Danio rerio: one gene and its partner. The protein of the gene in region 1 interacts with the protein of each later gene in a pairwise test. Links are inferred from orthologs where the notes say so. Each region holds a gene or a part of one and is shown on either strand. Other genes may lie near its edges.

Region 1 (4,308 bases):
TAATTCCAAATCTTCTGTTTTACTTTTTACCTCTTTTTGTGCAAATGAAAATAAAGAGAGCTCAAAGATCACTGTACATGTGATTGCAGTGATCTTTGAGATGTGTTGGACATTTTTATTACCATAAGACTCTACATGAAGATTGACCAAAGATTGGCTGGGATTAGTTGCCTGGGAGCAGTCAAAGGAATGTTGGACACAAATAAAATCTGTATGTAAGTGCATTTGAAGATGATACCTCTTACTCATAAATGGCATAAATTATAAAAACACATGATTAAAACAAGTTTTTAGTGTTTAAAAAATTAAACTTGAGAGAAAAAAAATCTTCTTAAACAAAACCATAGGGGGGAAAAGCAAACAAGCAAAAGTGAAAGCAATCGCTTATCATGTTTGTACTCTTTTTATGTTAATTATATTATTTAACTGTGATGCTCTTTTATTACAGTGTGTATAAAAGTGAGTACATCCCTAGCACTTCTAATTCTACGTCTAATTGCTCTTCTAGAGATGAATAAATGTAGATTTAAAAATAAGACCCTGGGTTAATTACTTCACCTAAAGGAATAGTTCAACCAAACAAAAATTTAATTCAAACAAATAAGAAAATAAGGAAATCTGACTCCCATAGTAACGTTAGGCTATTTGATTTTCCAATTGATGTCAATCGTTACAGGTTTTCAACATTCTACAAAATATCTTCTTATGTGTTGTGTTTAACAGAAAATAAAAAAATTAAACTTGTCCAGAACATGAGAGGAGTGACTAAATGGCAAATTTTCTTGGTGAACTATACCCTAATAAGGACTTTTTGACATTTTTATATTAGTTTTTTTTATCTAATGTAAATAAACAACCCTTAATGTACATTTAATTGTGTCACAAATTACCAACTTATCTGCAGATTTCTATTACAATTGTTTTTTTTTCAATTAAGTTACTCAAATAGCTAACGTTATACGAGTGCTGTTATGGCACAGTACATTAAAATATCCTTTCGTATTAATTACGAAAACCTTAGTTATGGCTGATTTCTAAAATGAGATAGTAAGCCCTAAATACAATATTATTAAGTATAATATAATATAATATAAATATAATAAAGTAAATCCTCAATACATTTTGAAGGCAGTATAAGACAAAAAGAAATCACTGTTTTTGTCACCTGACGACCTGCATGAATGCTCGATAAGTTCTACTGCTAAAGTTTGTTCACGGTTTAATTATTATCTCACTGTGTGAAGTCACCCAACTGCATCACAGGCCTCTTCAGTTCAAACACTTCTATTTCGCTCAGGCTTCTGGCAGGGCAGCAGAAACAGGGCCCATAAATTAATATTAAATAGCGCGTCGTGACGTTTCCCGGTGAGCATCCAATCACGCAATGCAGTTAATATTCATAAGACGTTCCTTCACCATAGTAGGAATCGTAAACTCACGCTCTGGCCACAGGTTGAAATCCATTCCAGCCGCTTGACCGAGACAACATCAGCGCTGCGCTCACAGCACCCACAAACATGGTAAGAAAAAACAAATTACATATCTATTGCATTCTTATCGTCCGTACCATTAACAAACTATTTAAAGTCTTTGTCCATACTCTCAACATGCAAGCATGGAATTTCCAAACAACATGCCTCTTTACACTATATTGGGTTGAACAATGTTTATTTATTGTTACTAAAATGTATTTTAAAATATTATATGTATTTTTATAATACTATTTTATTCATTCTTCACCTAACATTCAGTTGGTTGAGTTATTATTATTTTTTATTTAAAATATATACTATAAAATATAGTTAAAAGCTCATTATATAACATTCATGTTCATCATTTGCACTGTTAAGTGTTTGAGATGTCAGGTCTTTTACCTCGCTGTGTGTTCGCTCGTGCATCAGCATTAGTTCAGCAGATTAGGCTGTTGCTAAGAGACCTGTTGATGTCAGTCAGCTTTATCAGCGTTGGAGCTTCATTTTGACTGACATGTGTTTGCACAGACTCTTTGACGCAATATACTGATGATGGTTCAGTCTGGGACAATAGTGTGTGTATAGCACAAAAGAACACGCTGACACAAATCATCTTCATTTCCCTTTCATTCAGTAAAAAACCATGAATGCTGGGGAAAGCCTGTTGAAATCTCGTGTCATCTTCTTTATTAATGCTTTTTTTTTTTCTTGTAAGAGACATGTGTTTGAAGCTCATGTGATCTGTACTGAAAGTGGGAAAAGGGGAAGGGTTAAGTTGCTTAGGAATGTCATTGCCTCGACCAAATATGCTGGAGGCTCTTAAAATTGAAAATGCAAGTCATCATTGTTTCCATATGGGGTTCACAACAACCAATCACTGTGCTTTTTCTGAAACATCCCCATTGGAGTGTTTGTAAGAGTGTGTTCGTAAAGCTGTTTAAATAGTATCTGCTATATGTAAACAAACTATTGGTATGTACAAATAATTAGCAATCAATAAAATCTAATCTAATCTATAGGTATAGTAGGGTTTAAAATTTAAAAGTGTGTGTGTACTGGAGAAGTCTGTACTGCTCAACAAGCCGGCATTTATTAAATCAGAGGCAGTCAAATTTTGATATGTATTTACTGTTTTCTACTTGATTATATTTTAAAATGTAAAATATTCCTGTAACTTAAAAGCTGATTTTGTTAAAGCGGTGGTTCACTTTGATATCATGTTTTAAACTTTAGTTGATGTGTAATGTAGCTGCGTGAACATAAACAACATCTCTGAATGTAATTCAGCCAAACTTCAATGAGACATTGGCTTTTACAGTTAGCTTACCAAAGCCTACAGTGAGTGAGAATTGTGGGGACTACAAAAAACATCCATGTTAGTGAGATCACGAACGCTTCAGGTTTCGCGCATTCACTACACGCAGCAAAAGGGCATGGCCTGAGGTGCTGTAATGTAGCTGAGAAAGCTAAAATGCTGTCCAAAATGCTACAGGGCTTGTTCTGTTTCTGTATTTGGGCTTCCTAAGGACATGACACATATGTGGGCTTCCTAAGGACATGACACAAAGAGAAAAGTGCTTGCAATTGAATTTTAATTATGTTCTAGAGAATTATTAAAAATATATATAGCCAGTATTTGACAAAGGACAGCTTCCAGAATCATTCCCAGTTCAGTGCTGGATTCCGATAAAAACTCCTTAAAAAAGGAGCAGCTCCAACCATAATAGAAGAAGCTGTAGATTGTGAGCCACAACCTGTAAGCATTTTTAATATTTGTTAAAATTGACCTATTACACTGTAAAAACCGCAACAATCAATGTGTTGGGACAACATGAAGGAATTAAGTTAGCTTATTAGTTTTTACAAATTTAAGTAGATTGAACATAAAACAATTAAGTTGTCCCCAAAAAACTCATGAATTGTGTTGTTTAAGCTCGTTTTAAATAAGTAGTTTGAACAAACTGCAAACGTCATTTTTTGAGTGTACATGCATAGTGTCTAGCGTTAACAGTATTTTGTAGCATGGACGTAAACATGGATGTAAACAACAGGAAATGCTGATAGGCACCTTTAACAATTTAGCTACAAATTAATATTTGTCAGTCAAAACCCTGTAAACACCCACAATCTTCAGTAGCGCTGCAAGGCCTCTCTATGCGGCCGCTTTCCCTGCATTCTACATCACAAATGATGAACTCACAAAAGACATGTAAACGTTTCATATTACTTGCACATGCTTATTCTGAATATATGTGAAAGTCAGATTTTATTTTAGAGAGCAGGCCTGAGGTTCAGCTGTGTCCTCTGTGTCATTTTTCTGTCTGATTCAGGCACAAACTGATACGGCTAACAGCTACTCTGACTGACAGTGTTTATACATCGCAACAGTGCATGCTTGTTAGGACGTGATGCTTTTCCTGGTGGTGTGAAGCCGATCTGCGAATCACAGCACATTATGTTAGCTGACCAATCAGAGCCTCCTGAGGGCGGGCCTTTCAGAGGAACTAGGAAATTTGACAGTCGTTTTTATGTTAGCTGAGCAGCTGTATATAATATGATAATATATATAAATAACATGATTTTCTACAAATGAAGCATGAGCACACATTGTTTTGCATCTTATAACCGCTACCAAGCCTTCAAAATACACGTTGGACCACTAAGCATAATTACCCCAGAGAAACGATTGTTTAGATATAACGTCTAATACACTTTAAAGGAGTTCAAAGAGTTGTAAAGACATTTAAAATGTTCTAGAAATAAAAGGGCCTTCATTAGGGCTGCACAATATTGGACAAATGGAATATTGTGGTATTTTAGGTTTCTGTGATTTTAT
Region 2 (3,823 bases), on another chromosome or scaffold:
AATATGGATGGACACTCACTTTGTGCAATGGCCATGACTCCAGAGAGTGGCATTATAAGGTTAGGGGTCTGTTGGTGCACATGGTGGGATGCGTGGATGTTGGTCAGGGTGCTTACTGGAGGAAGACCTCCACCTGATACCGAGATCTGTGAAGAAAATACACCACCAGTTCATCAGAATGACTAGAACGCTTCTGTCAGAATTGTACTCTTATCTTAAGAAAGTATCAGAGCCCTGACAGGAGGCACAGAGCTTTATTTGAATAGGCAGAGTTGAGAGGAGGCCATGCTCAGACAAACGTCTGACTGCTCAGATAAGCTGCTGTCATACTCCCTTCCTCCTACGCCAACTTCCAACTGGCTGTTGACAGAAACGCACCCTAGACCATGATGAATTTGACCTATAGTGTAACACTGCAGCCTTGCTAGAAAAATTAATGCACAGAAAATTGTCCTGAAACAAAAAGCTACATGAAGATCTCGCCCAACTCAAACATTAGTATTCAGATAAGCAACTCCATTGAGCGCCAGTGTCACTCAACCAACAGAGAACAAGCACAACTCCACCCTTCCTCTCCTCTGCGCGGCATTTAATCAATACAAACAGAATGTCTCTTTGTCAGGTTTGTTGGAACAGCCATGGCCGTGCCCCATTCTCACTACCACCAGCTAACATTTACTAAGATCAGCCCTGCAGTGCACTGTGGGCCAAGGCCTGCCGTCTAGCTTTGGGTTTAGCACTGGGAAGTACAATGCAGCAATTGTAAGCCCACTTGCTGGGTGAAGATATCTATCAAGCGCTACTTTGTGTTACTGTGTCAAGAGCAGACATAGTGTTATCTTATCAGTGTTGGAAGTGCTTACCATCTTGGCATCAGGTGACAGGAGGCTGTGACTGGGGTCCAGCGCCCCTGGAGAGACCTGCTGTAACACTGACTGGCTGGTTGACATGGCATTGCTGCTATGGTGATTGATCGTTGTTGAAGAACTGACTTCACCTGGACCTTGTTGGCTGTACCGGACACCTGTTGTAAAGGAAGGAAGAGATAAATTAGTTTTAGTTTTAATCTTCTAACTGCTTTACAAAATGTGACCCAGCCAGTATTTGTTGGTCACTGACAAGTTTGGAAGAGCAAACAAACAAGGGCCTCTACATCTGGTGGCTGAACGGTCAAGGTCATCTCAATGTGTACACGTTAGCTGTCTGCAACTCTAAAAAACTATGTTGTGCTGAACTTCAGAACTTTGTTAAAATAATCTATATCAGTGCTGCACAATCCTGCTCCTGGAGGGCCCCCTTTCAGCAGAGTTTTTCTCCTGTCCCATTAGACCAAGGGTGTTCAAACTCGGTCCTGGAGGGTCGATGTCCTGCAGATTTTGTCTCCAACTTGTCTCAACACACCTGCAAGAATGTTTCTAGAAAGCCTAGTAAGAGCTCGATTAGCTAGCCCAGGTGTGTCTGATTAGGTTGGAACTATACTTTGCAGGACACCGGCCCACCAGGACCAAGTTTGGACATCCATGCATTAAACACATTTGAACTAGATAGTTTTTTTTAGAAATATAAGAAATTTCAAGCAAAGTGCATAGGAGCTGCATACTGCAGGAACATTCCTGATCTACATGAAATTAAGTTTTATGAGAGAATTATGTTCAACCTAAGCTGAATTCTCTTTTAGGCTATTTATTTTGTTGGGTATTCTTGACTATTGAAGGCCACAGGAATCCAGCCTGTCTTCTATCGAATCGATGTTTGCCAACCCCACGCTCCACAGATATGAACAAGGTAAACATTTCTCAATTAAGGCTAATGTCAGACACATAGTTTCACTCCTACATTTAAATACTAGGTTTGTGCAGCCAAGCGAGATGATGACCCAGCCAAAATAAATATTTATCATTTGTTATGGGATTATTCCCTGAGCTTTTCTAAAAAAGCTAGTGGCAGCAAAAAAAAAAATGACAGAAAAGTCTAATCCCTCTGCTGAGTTTTGTTGTGTAGCGGAACTACAGATACAACCCCTTTGCACACTTAAAACATTGCCAGCTCTCTACAATGTCTTGTAAACGCCAGCTCAGGACAATAAAGCACTCCATTGGGCCTACAACCTGCTTGGCACACAATAGGCCAGCAACTATAAACAGTCTTTACTTTACTACCGCACAACCACTAAAAGTGTCAGGGAAAGAACAGACTATTGTCTGACTCTATCAGGCATTCACTCAGACTGCAGGGATCTCCTCTCACGTTCAATCATTCAGGTCTGTGCTGTCTGGGCCATGCTGACCAGCAGGAGGGCTCGGTTTCTGAGGAAACCAGAAACCGATGTACAACCTCTGAGAACGCGACATAAAAGTTACATGGAATGGCATCATAAACTAAGTCTTAATTACACTATTCAGTAAAGCAATGTGCACCATTCAGTGACCAATGCTAAAATTAGCGTCTTGACTAAGTATAGACAACAGTTACATATTGGCAAAAAATTTCAGCTTATCACTACTCAAAAATTTGTTTTCAGGTTTCATGATGCTTGTGGTAATCACACAATACAGTTTGACCTGTAAAAAAATGCTACCACAAAACTTGGTTAAAATGACAGAGGGTTGCGGGAAATGCTGAAGGGGAGTGGAAGCAGGAGGGTTCAACTGGTTTAAAGGGTTCAGCTCTCCCTGGGACACATGTAATATCAAAGCCTGGCTCTTCATCCCCAGGCAGTGCTCATTATAGCACTGCCGCATATGATAGGCCTCCTGGGTCTTAGCAGGACGTATGTGGCCTTTCAGCCTTTCTATTGCCCCCAACAGTCCAAAACAAGACAAGTTAAACTGTCCTGTCCTCTGCTTGTCCTTCACTATTATGTTCAGGGGTCATATTGTTTAATTAATCATTTTAGTTTCTCAAAAAATGATATAAGCTAGTTAAACAACCATTCTAACATGCCTAAACAGGATCAAAGACCATTTTGAAAGCAGTTTGCTTTCCAACAGGACGACAACACAAACATAGGGAAGACCACAACCAGCCCCCAAAACGCACATATCAGTTGACCTTCTAATGGCGGCGAACTGGCCTGTTTGTTATCAACAGGCCAAACCTGAATCAATAAAAAAAGTTAAGTCTCTCACTGATGTGACCTGGTAACGACCTCTTTAACAAAACCCTGGTTTATGTAGTTTCCAAGAGGGGGCTGAGACAGGGAATCACCCAGTACTTTCTATACCTCGAGCAGAAGAAGAGACTCATCAGTCCTGTCTGGTCCAAAAAGAGCCAATAGTCCATCGGACAGCTCCTGCTGTTCTGCTCAGAGCACAGCCACTGCCTCTAAACCACAGCCCATAAAGGTGAGAGGGGCTTCGAGGTGTCCCTCCCCCTGGCCCAGCAGAGATAAATGAACCTTGGTTACAGTCACTACAGTCTTCTAATATGCCATAGACAAAAAGATTCCCTGCTGAGAGAAGGTAAAGAGAGCAGGGAAGAGGGGAGTCCCTTATCAAAGGACTGGGAGATGTAGTAGCAGAGGATTTTAATTGTCAATTAAGCATGCATAATACAGGCTGTGCCCTGGCAACGTGATGAGGGGTCCTGCTGTGCTATTATTTTCAGGCCAGCTTCTGACACCAAAAACAGCTGATGCTGCTGGCAGGCCACTGGCAGGACACCTTGTAAGTCCCTTGACTAAAAGCATGGAAGAGACCAACTCCATCCCGTTGCTCCCCCTTCTCAACCAAATTAACACACAACCTGAGGTCACTGACTGGTCAGGTGTGCAAAGGGAAACACCACACGCAAACAGACAAGCCACTCATTGCAGTGCTATATG

The links.
Region 2: the proteins of pcbd1 (region 1) and hnf1ba interact in binary tests that used the Homo sapiens proteins (3 or more experiments, as listed by UniProt). The link is inferred for Danio rerio from reciprocal best matches to the Homo sapiens genes PCBD1 and HNF1B.

What each region holds. Positions count from the first base shown.
Region 1 is NC_133188.1:28,937,781-28,942,088, forward strand, and holds the start of pcbd1 (pterin-4-alpha-carbinolamine dehydratase), read left to right. Parts: upstream 1-1,498; 5' UTR 1,499-1,517; coding exon 1,518-1,520; intron 1,521-1,874; exon of another isoform or gene 1,875-1,988; intron 1,989-4,308. Other genes in the region: si:dkey-192p21.6 (uncharacterized protein), read right to left, coding at 123-258. UniProt on the Homo sapiens protein: Involved in tetrahydrobiopterin biosynthesis. Seems to both prevent the formation of 7-pterins and accelerate the formation of quinonoid-BH2. Coactivator for HNF1A-dependent transcription.
Region 2 is NC_133190.1:18,433,353-18,437,175, forward strand, and holds part of hnf1ba (hepatocyte nuclear factor 1-beta-A), read right to left. Parts: intron 1,025-3,823; coding exon 864-1,024; intron 147-863; coding exon 20-146; coding exon of another isoform or gene 1-19. UniProt on the Homo sapiens protein: Transcription factor that binds to the inverted palindrome 5'-GTTAATNATTAAC-3'. Binds to the FPC element in the cAMP regulatory unit of the PLAU gene. Transcriptional activity is increased by coactivator PCBD1.